Stegostoma tigrinum: one gene and its partners. The protein of the gene in region 2 binds, or shares a complex with, the protein of the main gene of each other region. Links are inferred from orthologs where the notes say so. Each region holds a gene or a part of one and is shown on either strand. Other genes may lie near its edges. The genes, in order: ppp1r8a, c29h9orf78, ttf2 and A-kinase anchor protein 17A-like.

What was found.
Region 1: c29h9orf78 (region 2) and ppp1r8a share a complex: the UniProt entries of both Homo sapiens proteins name them as parts of the spliceosome. The link is inferred for Stegostoma tigrinum from reciprocal best matches to the Homo sapiens genes C9orf78 and PPP1R8.
Region 3: c29h9orf78 (region 2) and ttf2 share a complex: the UniProt entries of both Homo sapiens proteins name them as parts of the spliceosome. The link is inferred for Stegostoma tigrinum from reciprocal best matches to the Homo sapiens genes C9orf78 and TTF2.
Region 4: c29h9orf78 (region 2) and A-kinase anchor protein 17A-like share a complex: the UniProt entries of both Homo sapiens proteins name them as parts of the spliceosome. The link is inferred for Stegostoma tigrinum from reciprocal best matches to the Homo sapiens genes C9orf78 and AKAP17A.

The regions. Positions count from the first base shown.
Region 1 is NC_081377.1:38,910,837-38,918,291, reverse strand, and holds the start of ppp1r8a (protein phosphatase 1, regulatory subunit 8a), read left to right. Parts: upstream 1-4,455; 5' UTR 4,456-4,521; coding exon 4,522-4,565; intron 4,566-7,455. UniProt on the Homo sapiens protein: Inhibitor subunit of the major nuclear protein phosphatase-1 (PP-1). It has RNA-binding activity but does not cleave RNA and may target PP-1 to RNA-associated substrates. May also be involved in pre-mRNA splicing.
Region 2 is NC_081382.1:39,298,354-39,305,416, forward strand, and holds the start of c29h9orf78 (splicing factor C9orf78 homolog), read left to right. Parts: upstream 1-4,046; 5' UTR 4,047-4,183; coding exon 4,184-4,263; intron 4,264-7,063. UniProt on the Homo sapiens protein: Plays a role in pre-mRNA splicing by promoting usage of the upstream 3'-splice site at alternative NAGNAG splice sites; these are sites featuring alternative acceptor motifs separated by only a few nucleotides. May also modulate exon inclusion events.
Region 3 is NC_081365.1:39,213,614-39,220,751, reverse strand, and holds the start of ttf2 (transcription termination factor 2), read left to right. Parts: upstream 1-4,130; 5' UTR 4,131-4,155; coding exon 4,156-4,204; intron 4,205-7,055; exon of another isoform or gene 7,056-7,138. UniProt on the Homo sapiens protein: DsDNA-dependent ATPase which acts as a transcription termination factor by coupling ATP hydrolysis with removal of RNA polymerase II from the DNA template. May contribute to mitotic transcription repression. May also be involved in pre-mRNA splicing.
Region 4 is NC_081359.1:100,885,715-100,892,645, forward strand, and holds the start of A-kinase anchor protein 17A-like, read left to right. Parts: upstream 1-3,928; 5' UTR 3,929-4,124; intron 4,125-6,931. UniProt on the Homo sapiens protein: Splice factor regulating alternative splice site selection for certain mRNA precursors. Mediates regulation of pre-mRNA splicing in a PKA-dependent manner.

The DNA of each region.
Region 1 (7,455 bases), on a different chromosome or scaffold from region 2:
AAAATAGTAGAACAGTCCAAAGACTGATCCCTTTAGCACAGGCGTCTCCAAACAGATTTGAATCCATTTACAATTACTTCTGGCCTCAAGGCTTCTAGCCAGTTTATAATCCAGCTCAGTGTTAGAACTAATACCATTTGCTTTGATGACATAGAGAAGCCTCTTAAGCAAGATGTGACTGACCTTCCTGGGTTATGTATATCCTTTATCCTTTACCAAATCAACACAGAGCTAGCTAATTGTAAATTCAAAAAATAGATCCATATTTATTAAATTCTTCACGCCTTCTACATATTTAAGATTCAACAGCTGTCTCTACTGTAAAGAATTCCACTGAAGAATTCATTGCCCTCAGAGCAAAAACTTCTTCCTTATCTGTCTCAATGGTCAATCCCTTACTGATTATATCAGAGATAATGGGAACTGCAGATGCTGGAGAATCCAAGTGTGGAGCTAGATGAACACAGCAGGCCAAGCAGCATCTCAGGAGCACAAAAGCTGACGTTTCGGGCCTAGATAAGCCCTCTAGTCCTCGATTCATCCACAAGGGGAAACAATCTGTCTACATTTACTCTGTCAAATTCCACAAGAATCTTGCATTTCAATAAGTTCTCCCATCCTTCTGAATTCCAACAAGTGTAAGCCCAACCTACTCAATTTCTCCTCATGAGAAACCTGCTCCATACCCAGGATTGATTCAGTGAACCTGCTGTGGACTGCATCCAATCAGGAGGAAATCTCCTTAGGTAAGGGAATCAAAATTGCTTCACAGTATTCCAGCTGTGTTCTGACTGGTGCCTTATATTGTTTCAGCAACAGCTCCCCATTTTTCAAACAGCAAAATACTGCAGGTATTGGAAATCTGAATCAACCACAGAGCATACTGCAGAAGCTCAGCAGGTCTGGCAGCATTTAAGGAGAAAGAAACATTAATGTTAACTCTTCGAAGAATGATACTGACTTGAAACATTTACTCTGTTTCTCTGTCCACAGGCGCTGCAAGACCTGCTGATTTTCTCCCACGTACTCTGTGTTTGTTCCCTATTTTTATACTCCATTCCCTCTAAATAAAGGTCAACAATCTGTTTGCTTTCCCTATTACCCGCTGAACTTGGATGCTAGGGGTTTTTTTCATAATTCATGCTACAGGATTCCCAAATCCTTCTGTGCCATGGCTTTCTGTAGAGTCTCCCCAGCCTCCTGAAAAGACCGTTGCTCTTTCAATTCTTCAGGCTTTTGCCCAAGTTTCCATGTGCATCTGCAGCCTATATGACTACACAAGGTATCACTGCTAAGTGCAGTGTTATCTTACTCCAATGTCCAAATATGTACGTTCAGGGAGATTTAGATTTGACGGAAATGTCAAAATCATGATGTTGACTCAGTGAGATATTGTGATCTGGAAAGTATGGCTGGAAAGGATGGTGGGAAACAGATTCAACAAAACTTTCAAAAGAGAAGGGGGTAAATATTTCAATGAAAATGATTACAGGGACAGGAGTGTGATGTTATTTGGATGATTGTATTAAAGAGCCACATAGCCAAATAGGGCCGAATAGCCCCCTTCTATGTTTTGTTATTCTATGATTTTTAAGCCCTTGTTTAAGAATCGGGATAAGAATTCTAGTGTCATTTTATTCCCTTCCAGCCCAGGATCACTGAAGCCAAACATGTCATTCCAATACATCCATAAACTAACTAAATCTGAATGAATGCTGAATTACAGGGATTGCACAGTGGCTCAGTGGCTAGCACTGCAGCGTCACAGTGCCAGGGACCCGGGTTCAATTCCCGCCTCAGGCAACTGTCTGTGTGGGTTTCCTCCCACAGTCCAAAGATGTGTAGGTTAAGTGGAGTGGCCAAGCTAAATTGCCCATAGTGTTCAGGGCTTTGTGGGTTATAGGGGGATGGGGATGGGTCTGGGTGGAATGCTTCAAGGGGCAGTATGGACTTGTTGGGCCAAAAGGGCCTGTTTCCACACTGTAGGGAATCTAATATGACTTTTGGGATCCCATTCAGCACATTTTCTTCAAATTCTCAATTTTAAATACATAACCTCGTTTCTTTAATTTCCACTGCTCACTAACTTTAGTGACAAAATAGAAGTGTGTCTAATGAGTCACACCTTTCATGTCTCACCAGAGAAAAACGTATCTTATTTCAGACTTCTTGTTTCCATTCCCTTAAGATTAAGTTTACTTATCTGTTTCAATTCCTGCCAAAGTTAAATTTATTTTGTTAAGGAAAACATTTACAGCAAGGGACTGGTGCAGAACATTGGCAATTCAACTCAGGATCGTGTTTGAACCCAGTCCTACCCTGTCAGATATTCTCTTTCTTGGCCAACTGTAAGTACTTGAATTGCAATATGTCTTGTCAGTTTCACCCAATTGTAAGCAGGTGCTGACTGCATAGCTGTCAGCATGCTTATAAATTGGCACTAATTGGCAGTCTTAGTTGGCAAAGTCATAAGGAAAATAGAAATGTCACAAATGGGAATTAACACCATTGGAATGAATGCAGAGAAATCCATCTGTGGGTAATGCTTTTTTCTAAACAAGCTACTAGGAGTTTTGCAGATATGCCTATCTTCTGCCTCACCTTTGGTAAATTAGCTTAGTTGGCTGGACAGCTGGTTTGCCTTGCAGAATGATACCAACAGAGTGGTTTTAATTCCTTCACCAGCTGAGGTTACCTTGAAAGAATCACCTTCTTAGCCTCTTCCCTCCCCTAAGATGTGGTGACCCTCAGGTTAAGCCATCACCAGTCATCTCTCGCTAATGTGAGCCATCCTATGGCCAGGCAGGTTTGTAGTGACTTATATTACTTTCTAAATTGTTTTTATTTTCATGAAGTCCATTGAGTCCATCTCGTTGAGAGCCTAAGAAAGACTGAAAACTTTATTTTGAGAGTGAATGCCTGAAAGAATCATACAAGATTTAAAGTTTTAAGACTTTCACACTGTATACAAACTAAAAGTAACACAGACTAAACACTACTGCAGTTCATCATATATTCTCTCACATTCCCGTGTGCCTGAAATTGTGACCTCCTGTCCAATTTCAAGGCTTTCCTGGGATAATGCCCATCTCTTGAGCCATTGCATTCCATGCGATGTATTAACAAATTAGCAACAAAAGGACTATTCAGAAAGGGGAACATGGTAGCTTGTGAACAGAAGGTCTGTCAGAGTACCCAACTCAGCCACCTGAGCCTGCTCTGCTATTTAATATGATCAAGACTGATCTTATATTTCAGCCTCAACTCCCCTTTCCTGCCTGCTCCCCAAAACCCTTTACTTTGTAATTAGTTAAAAATCTGTTTATCTTCCCCCTTAAATTTACTCAATTTCTTGGCTTCCACCATGATCTCCGGTAGTGAATTAGAAGAGTCTGAACCCTTTGAGAGAGGTAATTTCTCAATTTGATACCCTTCAGCCTAAATCTCTCATTCTAGATTGCTCCCAAAAAAACGGAGGGGAACATCCTCTCCACACCTGATTTATCAATCCTCTCTATTATCTTATTCACCTCAATAGGATTTCCTCTTTCTTTTAAATTCCATAGAAGAATGAATTACCAATATAGTCAATATAAGTCCAACAGCTCCAACATTCTGAGATAATGGGAACTGCAGATGCTGGAGAATCCAAGATAATAAAGTGTGGAGCTGGATGAACACAGCAGGCCAAGCAGCATCTCAGGAGCACAAAAGCTGATGTTTTGGGCCTAGACCCTTCATCAGAGAGGGGGATAGCGAGAGGGTTCTGGAATAAATAGGGAGGGAGGGGGAGGCGGACCGAAGATGGAGAGAAAAGAAGATAGGTGGAGAGAGTATAGGTGGGGAGGTAGGGAGGGGATAGGTCAGTCCAGGGAAGACGGACAGGTCAAGGAGGTGGGATGAGGTTAGTAGGTAGGAGATGGAGGTGCGGCTTGGGGTGGGAGGAAGGGATGGGTGAGAGAAAGAACAGGTTAGGGAGGCGGGGCCGAGCTGGGCTGGTTGTGTGGTGCAGCGGGGGGGGGGGATGAGCTGGGCACGTCCCATCCCCCCAAATGCACCACACAACCAGCCCAGCTCATCCCCTTCCCCCCCGCTGCATCCCAACACCAGCTCGGCCTGTCTCTGCCTCCCTAACCTGTTCTTCTTCTCACCCATCCCTCCTTTCTTCACACCTCCATATCCTACCTCCTCACTTATACTGTCCTCTCCATCTTCGGTCCGCCTCTCCCTATTTATTCCAGAACCCTCTCTGATGAAGCGTCTAGCTCCAACATTCTGTCTGATACCTGTAAACAGCGCCCCGTGGTTCATTTGACCTTGTTTTCCCCCTCTCAAATTCTGTTCGCAAAGGCAAGTGGGATTTGTAGTTCAGAACCCGACGGGTCTTGTGGCGACTGCTGGTGGACTACATTTCCCAGGGTACATGCGGTGGGCTTGTTAGCATGCGCAGGGGGCTTTGGGAAGCCCCGCCCACTCCCTGTTACCCAGAATCCGGTGCAGCCTTGTCTCGATGTGATTCAAATGCAGCCGATTCAGCTCAAGCCCGTCTTTGACTGTCCGACATGGTGAGTGTGTATAGCCATGCTGCCCCGATCTACCGGGGACGTGGAAGGCACCTCGCAACCTTTCGATTGCAGATAGGCAGCTTCCCCCGTGGCTGCGCTTTGTGTCGGAGGCTGCAGCCTGACTCACTAGGCCGCGGTGTGTAGTTGCGCTGCAGCGGCGGGACCACTCCTCCCACCCCACCCGACTCCTCCCTCCCACTTCAACCCCCGTGTCCCCCCCTCTCTCCCCTCCCTCTCTCTTCCTCCCACCCGTTTCATTTCCGCCCCCATCTCCGACTATCCCTATCCTCCCCCCAAACCACCCCGGCTCCACCATCTCCATCCCCACCGTCTCCACCCCCCCCCCTCTCCACCGTCTCCACCCCCCCCCCTCCACCGTCTCCACCCCCCCCTCTCCACCGTCTCCACCCCCCCCTCTCCACCGTCTCCACCCCCCCCTCTCCACCGTCTCCACCCCCCCCTCTCCACCGTCTCCACCCCCCCCTCTCCACCGTCTCCACCCCCCCCTCTCCACCGTCTCCACCCCCCCCTCTCCACCGTCTCCACCCCCCCCTCCACCGTCTCCACCCCCCCCTCCACCGTCTCCACCCCCCCCTCTCCACCGTCTCCACCCCCCCCTCTCCACCGTCTCCACCCCCCCCTCTCCACCGTCTCCACCCCCCCTCCACCGTCTCCACCCCCCCTCCACCGTCTCCACCCCCCCCTCCACCGTCTCCACCCCCCCCTCCACCGTCTCCACCCCCCCCTCCACCGTCTCCACCCCCCCTCCACCGTCTCCACCCCCCCTCCACCGTCTCCACCCCCCCTCCACCGTCTCCACCCCCCCTCCACCGTCTCCACCCCCCCTCCACCGTCTCCACCCCCCCCTCCACCGTCTCCACCCCCCCCTCCACCGTCTCCACCCCCCCCTCCACCGTCTCCACCCCCCCCTCCACCGTCTCCACCCCCCCCTCCACCGTCTCCACCCCCCCTCCACCGTCTCCACCCCCCCCTCCACCGTCTCCACCCCCCCCTCCACCGTCTCCACCCCCCCCTCCACCGTCTCCACCCCCCCCTCCACCGTCTCCACCCCCCCCTCCACCGTCTCCACCCCCCCCGTCTCCACCCCCCCCTCCACCGTCTCCACCCCCCCCTCCACCGTCTCCACCCCCCCCTCCACCGTCTCCACCCCCCCCTCCACCGTCTCCACCCCCCCCTCCACCGTCTCCACCCCCCCCTCCACCGTCTCCACCCCCCCCCTCCACCGTCTCCACCCCCCCCCTCCACCGTCTCCACCCCCCCCTCCACCGTCTCCACCCCCCCCCTCCACCGTCTCCACCCCCCCCCTCCACCGTCTCCACCCCCCCCCTCCACCGTCTCCACCCCCCCCCTCCACCGTCTCCACCCCCCCCCTCCACCGTCTCCACCCCCCCCCTCCACCGTCTCCACCCCCCCCCTCCACCGTCTCCACCCCCCCCCCCACCGTCTCCACCCCCCCCCTCCACCGTCTCCACCCCCCCCCCTCCACCGTCTCCACCCCCCCCCTCCACCGTCTCCACCCCCCCCCCCACCGTCTCCACCCCCCCCCTCCACCGTCTCCACCCCCCCCCTCCACCGTCTCCACCCCCCCCTCCACCGTCTCCACCCCCCCCCTCCACCGTCTCCACCCCCCCCTCCACCGTCTCCACCCCCCCCCTCCACCGTCTCCACCCCCCCCCTCCACCGTCTCCACCCCCCCCCTCCACCGTCTCCACCCCCCCCCTCCACCGTCTCCACCCCCCCCCTCCACCGTCTCCACCCCCCCCTCCACCGTCTCCACCCCCCCCCTCCACCGTCTCCACCCCCCCCCTCCACCGTCTCCACCCCCCCCCTCCACCGTCTCCACCCCCCCCCTCCACCGTCTCCACCCCCCCCCTCCACCGTCTCCACCCCCCCCCTCCACCGTCTCCACCCCCCCCCTCCACCGTCTCCACCCCCCCCCTCCACCGTCTCCACCCCCCCCCTCCACCGTCTCCACCCCCCCCCTCCACCGTCTCCACCCCCCCCCTCCACCGTCTCCACCCCCCCCCTCCACCGTCTCCACCCCCCCCCTCCACCGTCTCCACCCCCCCCCTCCACCGTCTCCACCCACCCCTGCTCCACCATCTCCATCCTCCCCCTCTCCCCCCCCCCCCCCCCCACCGGCTGCGCCATCTCTACCATCACCCCCCCCCCGCCCCCACTTCTCCATCTCCACCCCCCATTCCCACCACCCTCCGCCCCCATCTCTTCTCTTCCCCCCGGCTCCCCCATCTCTTCTCCCTGCTCCCCCATCTCTTCCTCTCTCCCCACTCCCCCCATACCCCATCTCTTCTTCCCCCGCTCCCCCATGCTCCTCCTTCCACCCTCCTGCCCCACTCCCCACTCTCGTTTCCGTGCCGTGAACCCTTTGGAAAAACCTATCTTATTCCCTACTGTCCCTCAGGGAAGGAAACTGCTATCCTTACCTGGTCTGGCCTACACGTTTCTCCAGATCCAGTGATGTGATTGATTGCCCAGAGGCAGTTAAGAGTTAATGCCAATCTAGTCCATGAATGAATTTTTAAAAAATGGTTGTACCCAAGACTAGTCAGATTTATTTGAATGCTTCGTCCCTAGAGCTGGTAGAAAAATTCAGAACGGTTTGATATCACTCCTGTGTCATAAATGATCACCTTTCAAATCACTTGTCAAGTCACCACTACTTCATCCCAGTTATAGGCTCAAAGTACTTTTTCCTGTAGCTACTAGGTTAGTAAAGATTGAATCTATGTTCATCTCTCTGCGTTTCTCTGCATTTCAAGCGTTTTTTCCTTAGTTCATATGTACATCACATGGAATTTTCTCGCGCTCACCATACTATAGTGTAGAAAATTTAGGGGCAGAACCAGTC
Region 2 (7,063 bases):
CCTCCAACGCCATAGGCCGCCGCTGAGCCTTCTGGGAGATGTAGTTCGTACCGATGCGCCTCCCGCTTTCCCGGATGACGTTCGGTTGCTGTGGCGTCATTTGGGACACACCCCCGAGCGGTCGGATAGTGCGCATGTGCTATGTGGCCACGCCCTGGAATGTCCAGGACTCATGGGCCAGGCCATTCAGCCCAAAAAGTTTATGCTAGCAAAACAATCAGCTTCTTACTTTAATTAAAACAAAAGTCTGTTTTGAAGATAATAAAATGTGAGGGTGGATGAACACAGCAGGCCCAGCAGCATCTCAGGAGCACAAAAGCTGACGTTTCGGGCCTAGACCCTTCATCAGAGAGGGGGATGGGGTGAGGGTTCTGGAATAAATAGGGAGAGGCGGACTGAAGATGGAGAGAAAAGAAGATAGGTGGGGAGGTAGGGCGGGGATAGGTCAGTCCAGGTAAGACGGACAGGTGAAGGAGGTGGGATGAGGTTAGTAGGTAGGAGATGGAGGTGCGGCTTGGGGTGGGTCTGTTTTGAAGAAGGGTTTCAGAGATAGTAGGAACTGCAGATGCTGGAGAATCTGAGGTAACAAGGTGTAGAGCTGGATGAGCACAGCAGGCCAAGCAGCATCAAAGGAGCAGGAAAGCTGATGTTTTGGGCCTAGACCCTTCAGAAGGGTTATCTCTGAAGAAGGGTAACAGGTCTTGAGAGCTAGCTCTGCTTTCTCTCTACAGATGCTGCTAGACCTGCCAATTTTCTCAAGAACTCTCCGTTTTTCATTATTTTCCACCTTTATTCTTTCTTAGCAGGTGAATGTCACTGGCACACATCAGGCATTCTGAAACACGCATTTATTACCCATTCCCAATTGTGCTCTGTCTAAATGGCTTGCAAAGCCATTTTCAGAAATTTCCACAAGATTTGGAATGTGATTCCACAAAAACCAGTTCAGGCCAAACATTACATGATTTCAAGAAGCTATTGGACATAGGACTTGGGGGAGAAAGGATTGAAGGGTATGGGGAAAAAGTGAAAACGGATTATTGAGTTAGATGATCAGCCATGATTATAATGATTGGCAGAGTAGCCCTAAGGTATCAAAAGACCTGCCCCTGCAGCTATTTTCTATTTTTATATGTAACATAGATCCTTAACAATAAAAAGGATTTATGGTGGCAAATCGACAAAATGCAACTCAAATGGTATCAGTGCACATTGCCATAATACATATCAGTTTCTAGTGCTCAGTCTTACTTCCCGTTTTGCTTCTGAATATTTCTTTCAAATGCAGAAAATAGGGTACTGCCATTTAAAACAGCCTTTGCGATCCATCTGCACGTGTCCACTTGCACTCATGACGTACCATTGGTGAAACCATGCAGCAGTGTCAAGTCTATGTGCATGTCCAAAAAAATTTTAAACAATTGCAAACCACATCTAATCTTTGTTGTTCTGTTGTATGTTAAGGCAATCATTGATAAAAAGCTGAAGAGGCTTCTGCCATAAAATTGAAAGGAAAGTGCTTAGATTGGGTACATGTAAAACCAAGAGACAGCTCTTAAGGGAGATCAGAGTTGGGTAAATGGAAGCAAAGTGCAATGGTTCTCTTCAAACGGAGAGGATCCGTACATTATAAAATTGCAATTTCCAGTATGCTGACAATTATCCAGCCTGTCCTCCCAAATGTAATTTCTTTAGGTCTTACTTATAAAACAGGCATGTTGTTGGATGAGAGTTAAAACCAAGACTCCAAATTTAGTGCTCCACCTACTGGTGGCATAGGCCACAATTGTAGCCCTATAATATCTACGGTTAACATCTACACTGCTCCAAACCAAAACACCAGTTTAGACCTGTGACTCTTCTTCACAACCCGACTCCTCACTTTGTCCTTTGTTCTGTGGTACGTTGCTCCGATCCAGGGCCAAGAGACAGGAATCACAAAACCTGGTGCTGCTCCTGGGAACGTGGCTCCCAACCTGATCACAAAAAGTCCCACCTCCTGACCCAAGCACGGTTGGCCTCTTAAAGAGATAATGGGAACTGCAAATGCTGGAGAATTCCAAGATAATAGAATGTGAGGCTGGATGAACACAGCAGGCCAAGCAGCATCTCAGGAGCACAAAAGCTGACGTTTCGGGCCTAGACCCTTCATCAGACAGTCTGATGAAGGGTCTAGGCCCGAAACGTCAGCTTTTGTGCTCCTGAGATGCTGCTTGGCCTGCTGTGTTCATCCAGCCTCACATTTTATTATCTTGGCCTCTTAAAGCACCAGTCTCCGTTATTGGGCTCTGGTGTACACCCTTGTTCCAAGATGCCCTGACTTTCCCTTATGTTCCATTCCCTCTTTTTCTACACTACCAAAATCATCACTTTTCCAACAACTTGCAGTTCCAAAGAAACTCAAAACATTAACTGTGTTTATTCCTTTCCACAGATGCTGCCGGGCCTGCTGGGTTTCTCCAGCATGTTCTTATTTTATTCTGTCTTCTCAATATTTTTCAGTGGGACGAGGATGAAAGAAAAGGTCTGTGATAGAGTTGCAACAGGGAGAAATTGAATGACAGAAAATTTAATCCTGAGGGCTAAAGTGAAAGCGCTGAAAACCTATAAGGATCTGGATAACTATTTTTCCTAATTCTAATAAAAAGTCCAAGATCTCAAATCATTGGGGGGAATGTGGGCGGGCGTTGAATCTTGACAGAGTGGATGTGGAAAAGATGTTTCTTCTTGTGGGAGAATCTAGAACTAGAGGTCAGTCATTGAAAAAAAGAAAGAAATTTACATTTTTTTATTGTCACATGTACTCAAGTACAGGAGTACAGTGAAAAGTGTCAAATGTCACCAAGTTACCTTGGTATCTAGGTACAAAGTGATAGAGAGAAACAAAGTTAAAAGTTCAACATTACAGACCACCTCGAGAAAAATAAAGAGATAAGGTAATAGTTAACATTGAAGTTCTTCTTAATATTAAGTAGAAAAATAAAGAAATATTTAAAATTTCAACTGTCTTTCTTGAGCGCTTAGCCATGCTGGGGCCCCAATCTCCTCCACTTAGTTCGTTCTCTGGTGACCCTAGCAGCGTTTCCTCACCGCCGCTGACACAGATACTGGGGGACATCCCTCACCGCTCATTCCTCCCATGTTCTCATAGATGGTCCCATCTTCCTCAAAAGGCAGTATAAGCAGAGTCCTTGATTATCTTTAAAGCAGAGGGAGCTAAATTCTTGATAAGCAAGTAGGTGAGAGATTATCAGTGGTATGCAAGCATGTAATCAGAACACCACGATCCTACTGAATGGCAGAACAGGCTTGAGAGGTCGAGCATAATAATCCTGCTCCCATTATTTTATATATAGAAAATATTAATTAAGTATCTCTCTCTCTACACAAATACTTCAATAAACTGATGAGTTCAGATTGTGGTTGATCTTTTTACAACATGAAAGGTTAAGGAGATATACGCTGGGGACAAAAGACCACAAGAAATAGGAGATAGTAAGAACTGCCGATGCTGGAGTCAGAGATTAGACAGTGTTGAGCTGGAGGTACACAGCAAGCCAGGAAACATCAGAGAGGCAGGAACATTGACATTTCAGGTCAGGACCCTTCTTCAGAAAAATACATCAACTTTCTCGCTCCTCTGATGCTGCCTGACCTGCTGTGTTCCTCCAGCTCCACATTTTTTTTTTGTAAAAAGAAATAAGAGCAAGGATATTGCATTTGACAAAAACAGAAATTGCTGAAGAAACTCAACAGGCCCGCGGAGATAAGTAGGTGTAGACCTGGAGTAAACTTTGGATCCTGTGAGCCGCCTTCGCAACGGTCCTGAAACATCAACATCCTCTTTCTTTCCACAGAAACTGCTGACTTTCTCGAGAATCCAGTGTTTTGCTTCTTCGGGTGAGTTATTGAAGAAGGCGTGAGTATCCCTGCGGGGCGTGAGTATCTGTACTGCACAGACTGTGAGAATGGCAACATTGCGGGACTGGGTCACATGATGCCGTGCCCGCTGCACTGTGGGAAATGGAGTCCGGGAGTCGCCGGAACCTGTCCGTTGAACCGGAAGTTCCTCGGTCCGACCTCCGTTGTCAGTCTGCCGCGAAAGTCGGTGTGGTTTAGTGAGTAACGGGGTTTTGAAAAGAAACTGTGTTTGAGCTAAAAGAAGGTTGCACTGGGCCCCGGAATGCCGGCGGGGAAGAGCTACCGCAGGAGGAGAGAGGAAGAGTCGGATGAGGAGGATGAGCAGAGGGTGGTGGAGGTCAGGTGAGAGCCGAGGCTTCAGTGGTCCAGCTAGGCCTCTTGCCCTCAGCCCCAAAGAATAGCCCAGCCGGCGAGGTTCTTCAATCCATTTCTGAACTGTTAACTGCTTTAAGGGTTCAAGCTTCTGGAGAGGACAGTCTTTGTCTTTACGTGGCGCTATTTGTACTGCAGGAAACGCAGCATCAAGATTGTGCCCAGCAAACTCCCACACGAATGTGACGATAACAAACTATGTTGATTGAAGGATAAATATCGACCCAGAACCCGGGGAATAGTCAACAGATCTGGCAGCATCTATGGAGAGAGAGAGAGAGAGAACTGGAGTAACATTTTAAGTCTGATATCAGAGCCATATTTGACTTGAAACGTCAGCTCGTTTTATCTAACCACGGATGCTGTCTGACCTGCTCAGTATACCCAGAACGTTTCCAATATGTGTTCCAGACATGTTCAGTCTGCCAGTTAGTCACTGTTTATCTGCTGAATTTCGGATAGTTTTGCATTTGAGATAGAGCATCAGCCGGAGGATTGTGCTGACTGGCAGAGTGAGTTTGATGAGCTGAATATTCCACACCACCCATTTTTCTATGCTTTGATTTTCAGTTTTTATCTTCAATTTCCAGCACTTGCTTTGCTCTTACAATGGAGGAGCTTCCTTGCTCTTCAAAATAGCGGCCATTGGATATTAGTCCAGTCCAAAAATGTACAGGTTAGGTGGATTGGTGAAGTTCCTTGTGGAGTCCACGGTTGTGCAGGCTAGTTGGGTTAGCCATGGTAAATGTGGGATTATGGGGATAAAGTAGGAGTTGCTGTTTAGAGGGTTGGTGCAGATCTGATGACCTCTGCTTGCACTGCGGGGATTCTATCATTTGACATCTACCCAAGCAGGCACATGGTGTTTCTTGTCTCAACAGAGAAACAACACGTCCAACAGTCAGGCCGTCCCTTAGTATAACATTCAAGCTCCACCCTATGCTCTGGACCATAGCTGACTGCTGAAGTCTAAAACATCCTCTGAGTGAATGCATACAGTTTGGTGGCTGCCTCATGTTCAATACATAATTCAGTCTTCGTCCTCAAAAAATGCCTTTAACTCTGTGAAGATTGAAAATAGCCACAGTTGCCGAGGCTTTCGTCAAAACAGATTAATTCAGAGCCAGAAGTTGATTAATAGGGCCCCTCCAGCCTGCTGTGCCATTTGATAAGATTGCGTCCTCTACTCCACTTTCCTTTGTAGCTAATACTGTCTTATTAATCAAGAATCTTCTATTTCTGGCTTAAAAAATATTCAATGACCCAGCCTCCACTGCTCTCTGGCGAAAAGAACTCCACAGACTAACTAGTCTCTGAGTGAAAACAAATGTCGTCTCAAAAGTAGGAGAGCCTTTGTTTTTTAAACAAGTTTTCATCTTTTCTCTAAGGGCAATATCCTCTCCACATCCGTCCTGTCAAGCACTTACCCCTCCCCACCCCTGTGCAAACACAGTAAACGCACCACAATCTTGTATATTTCAATAAGATCACTTCTCAGCCTTCTGAATTCCAGTGTCAATGCTGCGAACTGTGTTGTTGATTTATGGTCATTCACAATCATGTCAATGTTTGTGAGACCACAGGCATCCACTTTATTCTCCCGGGATGGTTGTTAAAATAGTAAAGCAATGATTCAGATATTTTTGAGTCAACCTGTTTGTTACACAGTGCTAGAGCAGTTTGGACTTGAACCTGGGATCAGAGTTGCAAAAGCCCTGAAAAGCATTCATTTCTTCGTGGGTATTTTTAATCAACCTTTTGGAGATGTTATGACATGCCTCAGGTGTAGGTGAGATTTGAATCTAGGTTTTCTGGCTCAGATGCGTGGACACTTCCACTGCACCAAAAGAGCTCTTTAAGTTCTTTGTGGACTTCCCTGATTTTTTAAAAATCAGCCTGTTTAGCAATGTTAATACACACCTCTGGAGCTGGTGAGACTTGAACCTTGGCCTCCACAGTCCAGAAGTAGGGGCACTACCACTGCCAGAAGAGTCCTTTCATTTGTTTGTGGATTTTCCTGACTTATTTTTTCCAATCAACCTGGTCAGCAATGTTGTTACACACCACTGGAACAGGTGGGATTAAACCCTGTCCTCTTAGTCTAGGAGTAGGGACACTAGCTGCACCCAAGAGGCCCTGAGGGCTCCCTTGAAGCAGTTGTCCTTGTTTGCTTATCAGTGGTTGTTAGTTCGTTATGACTGAGTGGTCAAAAGACTCTTTCAGGGACGCAATTGACGGTTAAGTACATCACTATGAAACTAGCGTTTCTGGCTTGCCATGGGATGACAGCAGAATTCCTCCGTTAACACAGCATTAGTGAACTGAATTCAAAGTCTCAAAATGTGTCAGAGTCTCAACCAATATGAAAGCTTGCTCCAAGTTACAGTATCCTCTTAAAAGAGTTGGGAAGTAGGGACGGATGCATTGGTTTATTAGATGATCGTCATTTAGGTCTGGGTAATGGAGCACGGCATCATTTTTTGCTGAGCAAATGTTGGTTGTTTAGAATTATAGTTGCAGTGTCCTCTAGTGGTTACACTAATGTTATGAAAGATTTTGGTTTTTGCTTGCAGCCCAAATGCAGTGGAGTCAAATTTACAAGTGATACTAGCCTTCTTAAGTCAGTAACTGTGATCAGGCGGTTATCTCCACTGATGTATAATAAATTGCTTACAACATAAAAACATCCAAGAGCTTTTGTGCCAGAAGACCTGGATTCAAGTCCCATCTCTGCTGCAGAGGTGTGTCATAACACATCTGAACAGGTTGA
Region 3 (7,138 bases), on a different chromosome or scaffold from region 2:
GGTCTAGGCCCGAAACGTCAGCTTTTGTGCTCCTGAGATGCTGCTTGGCCTGCTGTGTTCATCCAGCCTCACATTTTGTAGACTCCAAATGTTAACCCTGTTTGCAGTTCCATAAATGCTGCCAGACCTGCTCGGTTTCTCTAGCACTTTCTGTATTAATTATGATAGTCCGTTGCCGGAACTCAGGTGAGAATTAAGAGTAAACACACCTTACTGTTTAGCTGCACAAAATTTAACACTGGAACAACAACCAGTAAGTATTACGCTGGTTAGCTCCTCCAAAGAATGGTCCTTTGTCCTAGTCTGAGGAATTTATCTTGTTATGTCAATTAGTCCTTTCAGCTACTTACTACCTTATACATTATGCACATCTGTAAGTGTAAGCATTTTTTTTACAATATTGAATAAGTTTTAGGCATCTACTGATCACGTATCTTGTCAAATGACAAATTTCTGAATGCTGCATTTTTACAAGTGAAGATTTTGAAAAAACTGCATACGTAAATTTTTTTTATTCAACATCAAGCAATTGGGTGATGTTGAATAAAAAAATTAGGGCGGCATGGTAGCTCAGTGGTTAGCACTGCAGCCTCACAGCACCAGGGACCCAGGCTCGATTCCAGACTTGGGTGACTGTGTAGAGTTTGCACATTCTCCCCGTGTCTGCGCGGGTTTCCTCCAGTTTCCTCCCACAGTCCAAAGATGTGCAGGTTAGGTGGATTGGCCATGCTAAATTGCCCGTAGTGTTCAGGGGTGTGTGGGTTATAGGGGGAAGGGTTTGGGTGGGATGCTCTGAAGGGTGGTGTGTACTTGTTGGGCAAAAGGGCCTGTTTCCACACTGTAGGGAATCTAATCTAAATATGTCCTCAAATTATTACATAGAATTTGACGTATTTCAGTAAATCAATTATAAGAAAGAATCAATAATCAAAGTGGAGTTGGTGTAAATCTGGCCTGAGCATATCAGTATGTTATTTTTTATTCGCTCATGGGTTTGGATGTCACTGCTCAGACCAGCAGTTATTACCATAACCAGTATCTGCCACTGCCATGAAGGTGATAGTGTAGTTCTTGGGACATAGGGACACCAAGAGTGTCGTGAGAGGCAGTTCCAGGATTTTAACCCAATTCCAGCTAAACTACGGTGATATATTTCTAAATCAGAACATGTTAGTAGTGAGGTTCCCAGGAATCTAACACGTTTATTGTCTAGATGGGGCAGTCAACGAATGTGAAAGGTGCTACTGGAGGAGCTTCGGTGACGTTATGTCAAGCATCTTGTACATGATATACACATCTGCCACTGTGCATCTGAGATGCAAAGACTGAACATGCAAGGTGGTAGATCAAGTAGTTTACTTTGTTCTGGATGGCATTAAGCTTCCTGAGTGATATTCAAGTTGCACACATCCAGGCGAATGCCGAATAAACACGTGCAATGTTGATGGCAGTTACCCATCAGGAAGACAGGAAATCTGTAATTCACATAGAATTCCTATGGTCTAACCTGCTCTTGTAGCTCAGTACCAGCTCGGTATTTATATAATTACTGTAGTTCAGTTTCTAGTCAATGGTGACCCCCATGATGTTGATAGTGTGACTTTCAGTGATGATAATGCAATTGTATATCAAGATGATGATTCAATTATTTGAGAAATGGTCATTGCCTGGTACAGGTGGTGTGAATGTACTTGCTATTTATCAACTCAAGCCTAGTTCTTGTCCAGGTGTCGTTGCATATGGACATGGACTGCTTCGGTATCTGAGGAATTAATCAATGGTGCTGAACATCGAAAATTCATCAGTGAACATCCCCACTTTTTACTTTATGACAGGGAGAAGGTCACTTATGAAGCTGCTGAAAATGACTGAATCCAGGACACTACCCTGAGGAACTCACAGTGGTAGAGTTCCTGCCTCTAGGCAAGAATGTCTGGGTTTAAGTCAAAACTCTCACAACATATCCAAACAGGTTGATTCAGAATACTTGCCCTGAGGAACTCATGTACTGATGGCCTGAGGCTGAAACGGTTGATTTCCAACAACCCCAAATATCTTCCCTTGTGCTAGGTTTGACTCCAACCAGATTAGGTTATCTAGGGCTAATAATTCAATTAAGACTGCTAGCAGCTACATGGATCATGACATGTGATTACCCTGTGCTTGATTAAGTTGTGGCAGGCACCATGTAAATTTTGTGCTACCCTGGTTCATTCAACAATTGCAGTAAGTAGCTGAGCACAAAACGTGCCACTGATAGTTTGCACACTCAGCAGTAATTCCAGAATTACACATGGTTAGCACAATACACAGCTAACTTGCAAATCTTAAAAGAGAAGCATGTTTATTTTCTTTATTCTTTTGCAGGATGTAGGCAATTGGCAAGACCATGATGTATTGTTCATCCACAATTGCCTTTGAATTGTCAAAATATATCATTGAAGAGAGCTATTTGATAAAGTTTAAAGAATTTTCTGTGTGCTTTTATTTTTGAATGTTGGTCAAAAAATGTGGCAATGATCCTTCAGAGACAGACTGATAGAACATAGAACAGTACAGCACAGAACAGGCCCTTCAGCCCACAATGTTGCGCCGACCATTGATCCTCATGTATGCACCCTCAAATTTCTGTGACCATATACATGTCCAGCAGTCTCTTAAATGACCCCAATGACCTTGCTTCCACAACTGCTGCTGGCAACGCATTCCATGCTCTCACAACTCTCTGCGTAAAGAACCTGCCTCTGACATCCCCTCTATACTTTCCACCAACCAGCTTAAAACTATGACCCCTCGTGCTAGCCATTTCTGCCCTGGGAAATAGTCTCTGGCTATCAACTCTATCTATGCCTCTCATTATCTTGTATACCTCAATTAGGTCCCCTCTCCTCCTCCTTTTCTCCAATGAAAAGAGACCGAGCTCAGTCAACCTCTCTTCATAAGATAAGCCCTCCAGTCCAGGCAGCATCCTGGTAAACCTCCTCTGAACCCTCTCCAAAGCATCCACATCTTTCCTATAATAGGGCGCCCAGAACTGTGATAGTTGAGAAATTTTGCAATAAATGAGATTTTCTGAGAACTGAAGTATGATTAACTATTCAAGGATACCTCATCTGGAGCAAAGAGGTTCCAGGTGCTCCCTTCCTTCCTTTTCATTTTTGCACTCACCCTACCGAGACCCTCTTTCTCTTCCATCTCTGAAGGAGGGATAGGGGCTAAGAGATTGAGAGAGTAAGGTAATGAAGGATGCAGTATCCATGAGTTCATGAAGTTGGAGCAATGTTCCATAAGAACTGGCAAGCTCCCTGGCCCTAGAAGTTGTCTAGGCAACTGAATATTTGTTTTCAAATATGTTTGGTTTGTTCCATGAAGTTTCAAGTGGTAGTGTGGCTTTCACTGTAGGCATACCATCCACATGTGGACACTTCTAAGCCAGGTGTACAATGTGTAACCTTATCACCAAGCAACCAGAGACTTGATCACCAAATTTCACCATCAAATATGGTGAGTATAGCTGTCGAAGATGGAAATAATTTACTTGTTGCCATGACAGCAAACATTTACCAACATAATGCTCTGTGCATGATGTTATGACAATGTAATTTTTTGATAATGCAATTACCAGTTTTTCCTTTCCAAGTGGACTTTTTGTTTTGAAGCTGATCAACTATTTCACTTTTTTTCAAAAAAGACAGACTCTGCCAGCATGCTTACAGCTGTAAACGAGCAATATCTGTATTCCTGACAGTGAGATGATAACACAGAATCAAACCGCTAGGGAACATGAAAAGCTAGAATTCCCACTGAATTAAACCACTTTATCATGTGTTTCTGACATCAGACTATAATTACTTGTTTTGAAGCAATAGCTGCTACAGGCATGAACAAATAGAATCTCTGCAAGATATACACATTAACAGAGGGTTTTGCCGAGACTTGATTAACTAAATTGATTACTAAAGCCTTGATTTTCTATCCTGGGGCAGAGGAAAAGAATCGGGCTCCATGAAACCACCACTTAAGAACGGCTGCTCACATTTCAGAATTTTCAGTCCGAGTTTTGGAGGCAGCTTGGATCGCAAGTCAGGACAGGTGACCTGAGAGAAGCCTAAGAGGATGCCCAGTTCTGGCCAGACTGGGATGCCAAGGGTCTGAATGAATCTAGCTCAACAAATCTACCATACTTCAACAAATCCCTTTGAAAGTAAGCAATTTACTGAAGTGTTACATGACTTATATAAACAAACATTAATGGTCTGATACTTTGGTGTCAACAAACGAAAAAAAACTTTTAAGTTCTTAAAAGTTTGTATCAACAAACATTTTCATTGAGAAGGAAGTAAACTTTCAATCAATAAGCACCCAACTGTGAAAATGATAGTTTGGGAAATCAGTCACTTGACACAAATCCTATAATGGTCTTAGGTAAACAAGCACTCTCAAACACTCATTTTATTTTTATCCCTTTTGGACAGTTTCTTGACAACATTGCAAGCTCTAATGAGTTAAACTTTTTATCTACACATATGCCTTTCAAACAGTCCCAGAGAGCACCGTTACCCTCACAAAAGGTGTGCCGGAACCATATCCGAAGGGGAACCTTACCTCTCCGAAAGGGAAGAAAATAAGAAACATTCTTCCAGCATTCACCCCTCAGTTCCCCTCATCCACATATACTCCCAATGCCCCACTCATGCCAACTCATATAACTTGCGGTCCTCTGGCCATCCCTCATGGCTCTTTATAACTTGATATCAAATACTTCCACTCACCACCCTTTTCCTGTTCACCTATCATGCCATTTCATTGAGTTAGAAAATGCAGCTTACTTGACAGCTAGCCTAACCAGCAACTTCAAAATTCATTCCTTACAACACAGACGCACTTTGACAGCAGTGTGTACCATCTAAAATATGCACTGCAACAATTCACTGAGGCTCCTTAGACAGCAACTTCCAAGCCCATAATCTTGAACATCCAGAAGGACAAGAGCAGCAGCTGAAGGGACACATCACCTGTAACTTTGCCTCCAAGCCATTCACCACCCTGACTTGGAACTATATGACTGCCCCTTCACCGTCATTCGGGCAAAATCCTGGAACTTCCTTCTTACCAGCATTGTGGGGATCCTCATGCCCCTAGGACTGTAGCAGTCCCATAAGGAAGATTACTGCTAGCTTCTCCAACAGGCAAGAAATGCTGGCCTAGCCTGTGATTACTATTTCTTCCTAAAACCAGAAGTACCTGCGCACATAAGAAATGTTCTATTATTTAAATTTTCATATTGCAGTTTTTACTCTATTGAGAAAAGTACAGCCCTTCCCAAATAAATATTGCAAGGTATTTTTAGTTATAGAGTCATGCAGCATGGAAACAGGCCCTTCGATCTAACTAGTCCATGCCAAACAATCTTTTTTTGTTCATGCATTAACGAGATGAGGATGTTGTCAGCTAGATAGCATTTATTACTCATCCCTAATTGCCCAGAGGGCAGTTCAGAGTCAACCACATTGCTGTGGGTCTGGAGTCACATGTAGGCCAGACCCAGTAAGGATGGCAGTTTCCTTCCCTAAAGGACATTAGTGAACACCAAACTAAACTAGTCTCACCTGCCTGCTCCTGACCCGTATCCCTCCATACCTTTCTAATTCATGTATTTATCCAAAAGTCTTTTAAACACAGCAATCCACCACTTCCTCAGGAGGTTCATTCCACGTGTAAACCATCCTCAAAAAAAAAAATGCCCCTCATGTCTTTTTAAAAAATCTCTCTACTCCCAACTTAAGGTGCCCCATAGTCTTGAAATTCCCCATCTTAGCAAAAAGACAACAACTACTAACTCTCTATATCCCTCAATATTCTGGAAACTTTTATAAGGTTGCCTCTCAACCTTCTAGGCTCCAGTGGAAAAAGTCTCATTCTCCATTCTCTCTTTCTAAATTCAATCTTCCACACCTGGTAAAACCCTGATAAATCTCTACTGAACCCTCTCCAGCTTAAAAATATTCTTCCTATAAATGGGCAACCAGAACTGGATACAGTATTCCAGAAGAGGCCTCACCAATGTCCTGGACAACCTCAACATGACCTCCAAACTCCTATACTCAAAGGACTGTGCTATGAAGGCAAGCACGCCAAATGTCTTTTTAACCACCCTGTCTATTGTGACGCAAACTTCAAAGAATTATGCACCTGAACCCCATGGTCTCTCTGTTCTATGACACTACTTAAGGCCCTACCATTAGGTGTCTAAGTCCTTCTGTTTTTTTGTTGTACCAAAATGCAATACCTCACATTTATCCAGATTGAATGCGATCTGCCATTTTTCAGCCCATTGATCTATTTGGTCAAGATCCCTTTTCCATCTCAGAAAACCTTCTTAAAAACTGTCTACTATGCCACTAACTTTGGCCTTGTCTGCAAATTTACTAACCATGCCTTCTATATTCTGATCCAAATCATTTATATAATTGACAAACAAGAGAGGCCCCAGAAACAATCCCTGCAGAATACCGCTGGTGACAGGCCTGCAGGCTGAAAAGTAACCCTCCACTGCCCTTCTGTTTCCAGCCAATTATGTATGCAACTGACAAATTCACCTTGAATCCCACATGATCTAACTTTACTAATTAGTCCACCATGCAGAACCTTGTTGAAAGCTTTACTAAAAGTCCATGTAAACAACGTCCATTGCTCTGCCCTCACCAGTCTCTGTTTACAGGCCTTGACAAATTGACAGGTTCAAGGCATTTAGGCCTATTTAATGCACAATCTTCTCTATACTTAATCAAAAAGAGTACCTGAACTCAAACCTCAAATGATACTGCCTTCCAGCCCAAGACTACCCGAAATGCACTGAAAACTGATCTGCTGATACCCAGACTAATCCCATCAATCTAGCTTCCAAGGACTCCAATTACACAAAACATCTTAAATGTTACTAACTGTGAACATGTGCAGCATGACCAACTATACCAGAGTGACTCAGCCACTTCTAAATTACTCTCGCTACATTCAAAAGACTGCCAAAAAACCAAGTCATGAGTGAACATCACCTGTGAGCTTGCTGGCAGAGGTTGCGGTGCAAAAACAGTTGTCTTTCATACTTCTTCATAGTCCTTGTCTTCTGGATTGCCAA
Region 4 (6,931 bases), on a different chromosome or scaffold from region 2:
TAACAAAGGATCTAGGCCCGAAACGTCAGCTTTTGTGCTGCTGAGATGCTGCTTGACCTGCTGTGTTCATCCAGCTTCACACTTTGTTATTGAGAACATGTGGCCAACAGGTTTTAATTCCTAAAAAACAGCAGAGAAGTTCCAAAAAATCACAATGCAGCTCGGTACAATTTTATTTTAATTTTATTACAGTTCAGTTCAATCATAATTACAGTAGTTACAGTAGATAAAATGAGCAGAGTAGTAAAAATGAACCTGTATACCTCTGAAATTGCTGCAATCCTTTCTCTGAGGTCTAACCTGATTGGGGCTTTTAATCTGGTCCAATCAGGGAGTCCCAGCTGGAAGGTAGAAACAGGAGTGTCAGACGTACTGTTCACTCAGAAAGCTGGCTCTGAGGTAGCTGGATCAGCGTCAAGTAATATATATGTGTGTATAAATTATGATCTGATGAAAGTTTACGAGCTTTTGTGCAGTTATTTCAGTGACGACGAGAGATAAAATATGCTCCTGAAGAAATTCACTTACAGCAGTCGTCTTTGAGTGGGATAAGCATTTTTACCACCGTGCAAATGTTTGAGATGCTTGATTCATTCGATCCTGCCTTCGCAGACTGGGTCCAATATCTGGAAAGAATGCATTATTTTTTCTGGGCAGTTGACATTTGGGCAGATGAAAACCAATAAGTAATTCTCACGACAGCTTGTGGAACCGGAGATTTACTGGTTATTAGGAGACCAATGTTTCTTAAGGCACTAGATAGTAAAACCTTTCAAGAGTTGGCGGATTTAGTAAAGGAATATTATAACCCCTCGTCTGTATTAATTCTAAGATGCTGCCAGTTTTATTCGGCAATTCAAGAACCAAGGGAACCCGCCGTGGGAGTTTTGACCAGGTTAAGACAACTGGCAAAGGCATGTGATAATGGGAACTGCAGATGCTGGAGAATCCAAGATAATAAAATGTGAGGCTGGATGAACACAGCAGGCCCAGCAGCATCTCAGGAGCACAAAAGCTGACGTTTTGGGCCTAGACCCTTCATCAGAGAGGGGGATGGGGTGAGGATTCTGGAATAAATAGGGAGAGGGGGGGAGACGGACCGAAAATGGAGAGAAAAGAAGATAGGTGGAGAGGAGAGTAAAAGTGGGGAGGTAGGGAGGGGATAGGTCAGTCCAGGGAAGACGGACAGGTCAAGGAGTGGGATGAGGTTAGTAGGTAGGAGATGGAGGTGCGGCTTGGGGTGAGAGGAAGAACAGGTTAGGGAAGCAGAGACAGGTTGGACTAGTTTTGGGATGCAGTGGGTGGAGGGGAAGAGCTGGGCTGGTTGTGTGGTGCAGTGGGAGGAGGGGACGAACTGGGCTGGGTTTGGGATGCAGTGGGGGAAGGGGAGATTTTGAAGCTGGTAAAGTCCACATTGATACCATTGGGCTGCGGGGTTCCCAAGCGGAATATGAGTTGCTGTTCCTGGAACCTTCGGGCGGCATCATTGTGGCACTGCAGGAGGCCCATGATGGGCATGTCATCTAAAGAATGGGAGGGGTAGTGGAAATGGTTTGCGACTGGGAGGTGCAGTTGTTTATTGCAAACCGAGCGGAGGTGTTCTGCAAAGCGGTCCCCAAGCCTCCGCTTGGTTTCCCCAATGTAGAGGTAGCCACACAGAGTACAATGGATGCAGTATACCACATTGGCAGATGTGCAGGTGAACCTCTGCTTAATATGGATAGTCATCTTGGGGCCTGGGATAGGGGTGAGGGAGGAGGTGTGAGGGCAAGTGTAGCATTTCCTGTGGTTGCAGGGGAAGGTGCCAGGTGTGGTGGGGTTGGAGGGCAGTGTGGAGCGAACAAGGGAGTCACGGAGAGAGTGATCTCTCCAGAAAGCAGACAAGGGTGGGGATGGAAAAATGTCTTGGGTGTTGGGGTCGGATTGTAGATAGCGGAGGTGTCGGAGGATGATGCATTGTATCCGGAGGTTGGTGGGGTGGTGTGTGAGAACGAGGGGGATCCTCTTTGGGCGGTTGTGGTGGGGGCGGGGTGTGAGGGATGTGTTGTGGGAAATGCAGGAGACGCTGTCAAGGGCGTTCTCGACCACTGTGGGGGGAAAGTTGTGGTCCTTGAAGACATCTGGGATGTGCGGGAGTGGAATGCCTCATCGTGGGAGCAGATGCGGCGGAGGCGGAGGAATTGGGAATAGGGGATGGAATTTTTGCAGGAGGGTGGGTGGGAGGAGGTGTATTCTAGGTAGCTGTGGGAGTCGTTGGGCTTGAAATGGACATCAGTTACAAGCTGGTTGCCTGAGATGGAGACTGAGTGGTCCAGGAAGGTGAGGGATGTGCTGTAGTTGGCTCAGGTGAACTGAAGGTTGGGGTGGAAGGTGTTGGTGTCCTCCAACACTTCTGCCATCTACAATCCGACCCCACCACCCAAGACAATTTTCCATCCCCATCCTTGTCTGCTTTCCAGAGAGACCACTCTCTCCGTGACTCCCTTGTTCGCTCCACACTGCCCTCCAACCCCACCACACCCGGCACCTCCCCTGTAACCGCAGGAAATGCTACACTTGCCCCCACACCTCCTCCCTCACCCCTATCCCAGGCCCCAAGATGACTTTCCGTATTAAGCAGAGGTTCACCTGCACATCTGCCAATGTGGTGTACTGCATCCATTGTACTCGGTGTGGCTTCCTCTACATTGGGGAAACCAAACGGAGGCTTGGGGACCGCTTTGCAGAACACCTCCGCTCGGTTCGCAATAAACAACTGCACCTCCCAGTCGCAAACCATTTCCACTCGCCCTCCCATTCTTTAGATGACATGCCCATCATGGGCCTCCTGCAGTGCCGCAATGATGCCACCCGAAGGTTGCAGGAACAGCAACTCATATTCCGCTTGGGAACCCTGCAGCCCAATGGTATCAATGTGGACTTCACCAGCCTCAAAATCTCCCCTTCCCCCACTGCATCCCAAACCCAGCCCAGTTCGTCCCCTCCCCCCACTGCACCACACAACCAGCCCAGCTCTTCCCCTCCACCCACTGCATCCCAAAACCAGTCCAACCTGTCTCTGCCTCCCTAACCTGTTCTTCCTCTCACCCATCCCTTCCTCCCACCCCAAGCCGCACCTCCATTTCCTACCTACTACCTCATCCCACCTCCTTGACCTGTCCGCCTTCCCTGGACTGACCTATCCCCTTCCTACCTCCCCACCTATACTCTCCTCTATCCATCTTCGGTCCGCCTCCACCTCTCTCCCTATTTATTCCAGAACCCTCTCCCCATCCCCCTCTCTGATGAAGGGTCTAGGCTCGAAACGTCAGCTTTTGTGCTCCTGAGATGCTGCTGGGCTTGGCAGAGGCATGTGACCTTGATTTAATCCTTAGTGAGATGTGAGAGATCATTTGATATGTGGGATTGATGACATATCTGTGCAAAAGCACCTATTCCTGAAGCACAACTGGACTTTAAACAGTCTCTGCAACTAGCTCTGTCATTAGAAAGTGCAGCAAGTGGAGCATGTGAGTTACGGGGTATGATGAAGGGTCTAGGCCCGAAACATCAGCTTTTGTGCTCCTGAGATGCTGCTGGGCCTGCTGTGTTCATCCAGCTCCACACTTTATTATCTTGGATTCTCCAGCATCTGCAGTTCCCATTATCACGGCAACATGTTCTCATTCCCGTGGTGTCAGCACTCGGATATAATCGGTCACCCTCGTGTACTTTCGGCACCATCGTTGCCCCTCACAAAGATGGCGGCAGTGGGCAGTCAATCGTGAAGACTTGTGCGCCCGGCCTCCCGCCCCGATGAAAAGTCCCTTAAGCCGTCTATTAGTTGCCTGACAAAAACTCCGCGTGAGGTGAGACGCCGGTTGGGCGAAAACTGCGCTCTCTGGGAAGCGCCTTCCTTCAGCAACACGCGAGAGGAAGATCTCCGCGAAATAGGTTTGAGGCGTGGTGATGGCCCTGCCGGGTGGAATCATCAGGCGGGTTGGCTGGTCGGTCACAACGGTCCTTTATGAGCTGGGTCGCTGTGGTGCTGGAGGTGGTTGTTGCTGCTGGCCGGAGGCCTCTAGCAGTTTGCCGGCCCTCGGCCTAACGTTCCCCCCGCCCCCGCGCTGCAGCTTCACGAAAAGGTAGGTCGCTGAAAACCAGCTGCCCTCAAGGCCACGAACCCCTGCCTCCATATCTCGGAGCCGCCGCAGCGTTGTCTTAATTCACTAGGACATTTCTGTCCGAGTCGCAGGCTTTGATCACGTCATGTTTGTGTTTTGTATAAGAGTTTATTTTTAAATTATTCACTCGAGGGACGTTGCTGGCTGGGCCCAGCAATTACTGTTGCCTGTCTTAAGTTCTGAGGAAGGACCCGAAATGTTATAACTCAGCTTTCTCTCTCCACAGATGCTGCCAGACCTGTTGAGTTTCTCCAGCAATTCCTGCTTTTTGTTTTGTTTCTGATTTCTGGCATCTGCAGTTTTGTTTTTTTTTTAAAAACTCTTCATTGCCCGTCCCTGGTTGACTTTGATTTGTGGTGGTGGTAAGCTGCCTTCTTGAACCAATGCATCCATATGCTTGAAAGTCGACTTAAATACCTTTCGGGAGGGAATTCCAGGATTTTGACTCAGTGACACAAAAGGAACATTTCTGGTCTGGATGGTGAGTGATTTTGAAGGGGAATTTTCAGGTGGTGGTGTTCCCATGTATCTGCTGTCATTGTCTTTCCAGATGGCTGTGGGTTTATTGAGACAACAAACAGAAATTGTTGGAGAAGCTTGGGAGGTCTGGCAGCACGAGGAGAGAAGAAGGCAGAGAGATGCTGCCAGACCTGCTGAGTTTGGATGGAAAAATATGGTTTTGTTTCAGATCTCTGGCATCCACAGTTACTTGTTTTACAATATGATAGAGATTGGTTAATAGAAACCAAATGATGCAGTTTTCTAGGAGGTGCAGGAGTAGAGAGATATGGGGCAAGGAGTGGGATATATACACACAGACTTGGAGGTAAAAGCAAACTACTGCAAAGGCTAGCAATGCAAGCCAGGCAGCAGTTGTGGAAAGAGAAACAGAGTAGATGTTTCAAGTCTAGTATGATGACTCTCTTCTGAATTGAAAGGCATTGGAAAATTAGTTGAATGTGATAGCATATGTTCTTTTCAAATACACATCAATCTGACTTGGAAGTATATCACTGTTTCTCAGGTGTCAATTTGTTAAAAGTCTCTGGCAACATTGTGGATCTACCTAAAGCAAATGGACTGCAGCGGTTCAAGAAGTTCAGCTCACCACCATTTTCACTATGATAATTATGGATTGGAAAATAATATTGACTTGGTCAGCAGAATCTACATTCCCTGTATGAAATATAAGAAAATATTTCTTAGAGGTCTCTATATTGCATGGACTGGAGGCAAGTTCAAGAAAGTATCTAACCACCACCTCTGTTAAAGTGGAGATGGGCAATAAATTCTGGGCTAACCTGCTGTGTCAATATCTCAAGAACAAAATTAACTTTGAAAAAGTTGAGAAGGCTACTTAAAATGCCAAGATAATAAAATGTGAGGCTGGATGAACACAGCAGGCCAAGCAGCATCTCAGGAGCACAAAAGCTGACGTTTCGGGCCTAGACCCTTCATCAGAGAGGGTCTAGGCCCGAAACGTCAGCTTTTGTGCTCCTGAGATGCTGCTTGGCCTGCTGTGTTCATCCAGCCTCACATTTTATTATCTTGGAATCTCCAGCATCTGCAGTTCCCATTATCTCTGATACTTAAAATGCCAGCTGACTTCCCTTGACTTGATGAAAGGATTTGGGAGTAAGGGATTAATACTAAACCTTTACAAACCATTGGCCTCAGCTTGTCTTGTGTCTGTTCGACAAACCTCTGTGGATGTACATATTAAACATGGATTGTATGGTGTGTGGCAATTCACGACTACCTTTTTGGCCAATTCGGTGTGGGTAATAAATGATCGTTCAGCCAGCGAAGCCCTGTGAAAGAATATTTAAAAATTGTTCTGGTCCTCAGGTTTTATGGAAGGATGTCAGATCCATTAGAGAATGATCTGAGAAAATTTACTGGAGCAATATTGGGGATGAGGTCTTTAAATTATGCAGAAGGAATGAAGAAGCTTGTGTTGCTCTCTTTAATGCCCAGAAGTATAAGTGGAGGTTCAGTAGAGGGTTTCAAAATTGAGGAATTTTGATTGATTTAGATATAGGGAACCATAGGAAGGTTGAGAACCAGAAGAGGTACTGATTATGTATGTTTGTAAGTGACAGTTGGCAAAAAAAGATGAGTTCTTTACATGGTGTGTGGTGATCATCTGCAAGACACTGCCTGTCAGTAATGAAAGGATATTTAATAGTAGCTTTGAACAAGGAGTTGGCATTGGATGTGTGCTTGAAATCAAGAAAAATTGAACTGATATGAGCAAAGAGCAAGGGAGTTCAATTAATTGGCTTTTTCAAAGAGCCAAGTTTTGCCCTTCTATGCTGTATGATTCCATGGTTCAAATACGATGCTGAAGTTATTCATACCTTTATTAATCTACATGTGCTAAATTGTTGATAATGTACCATTTTTATTTGGATGCCACCAACATCTGATGCAGTTCCACCTGCAGCTGCAGAAATCTGCTATTTTAGGTGGAACTTCAAAAAGTTGTCAACCCTCACCCATGGCTCCAATCTCCCAAGTACATTAACAGGAAAGTTTCTGAGTACTCACACCAGAGGCAAAGCTCAAGAGCATCCACTAATGTATTGCTAAATGACAATGTTAAGTATTTTTAAGGATCTGTCGTGTGTGATCCACAGTATTGCCTCTGAGGCAAACTTGTAATGTTGAGAGTATTAAACCAAAATTTACCATTGTATTTTTCTGTTAGAAAATAGAAAAGATCCATTTAACTTTGCTCATCTCTTTAAGGTCAGAATGTCTTGCTA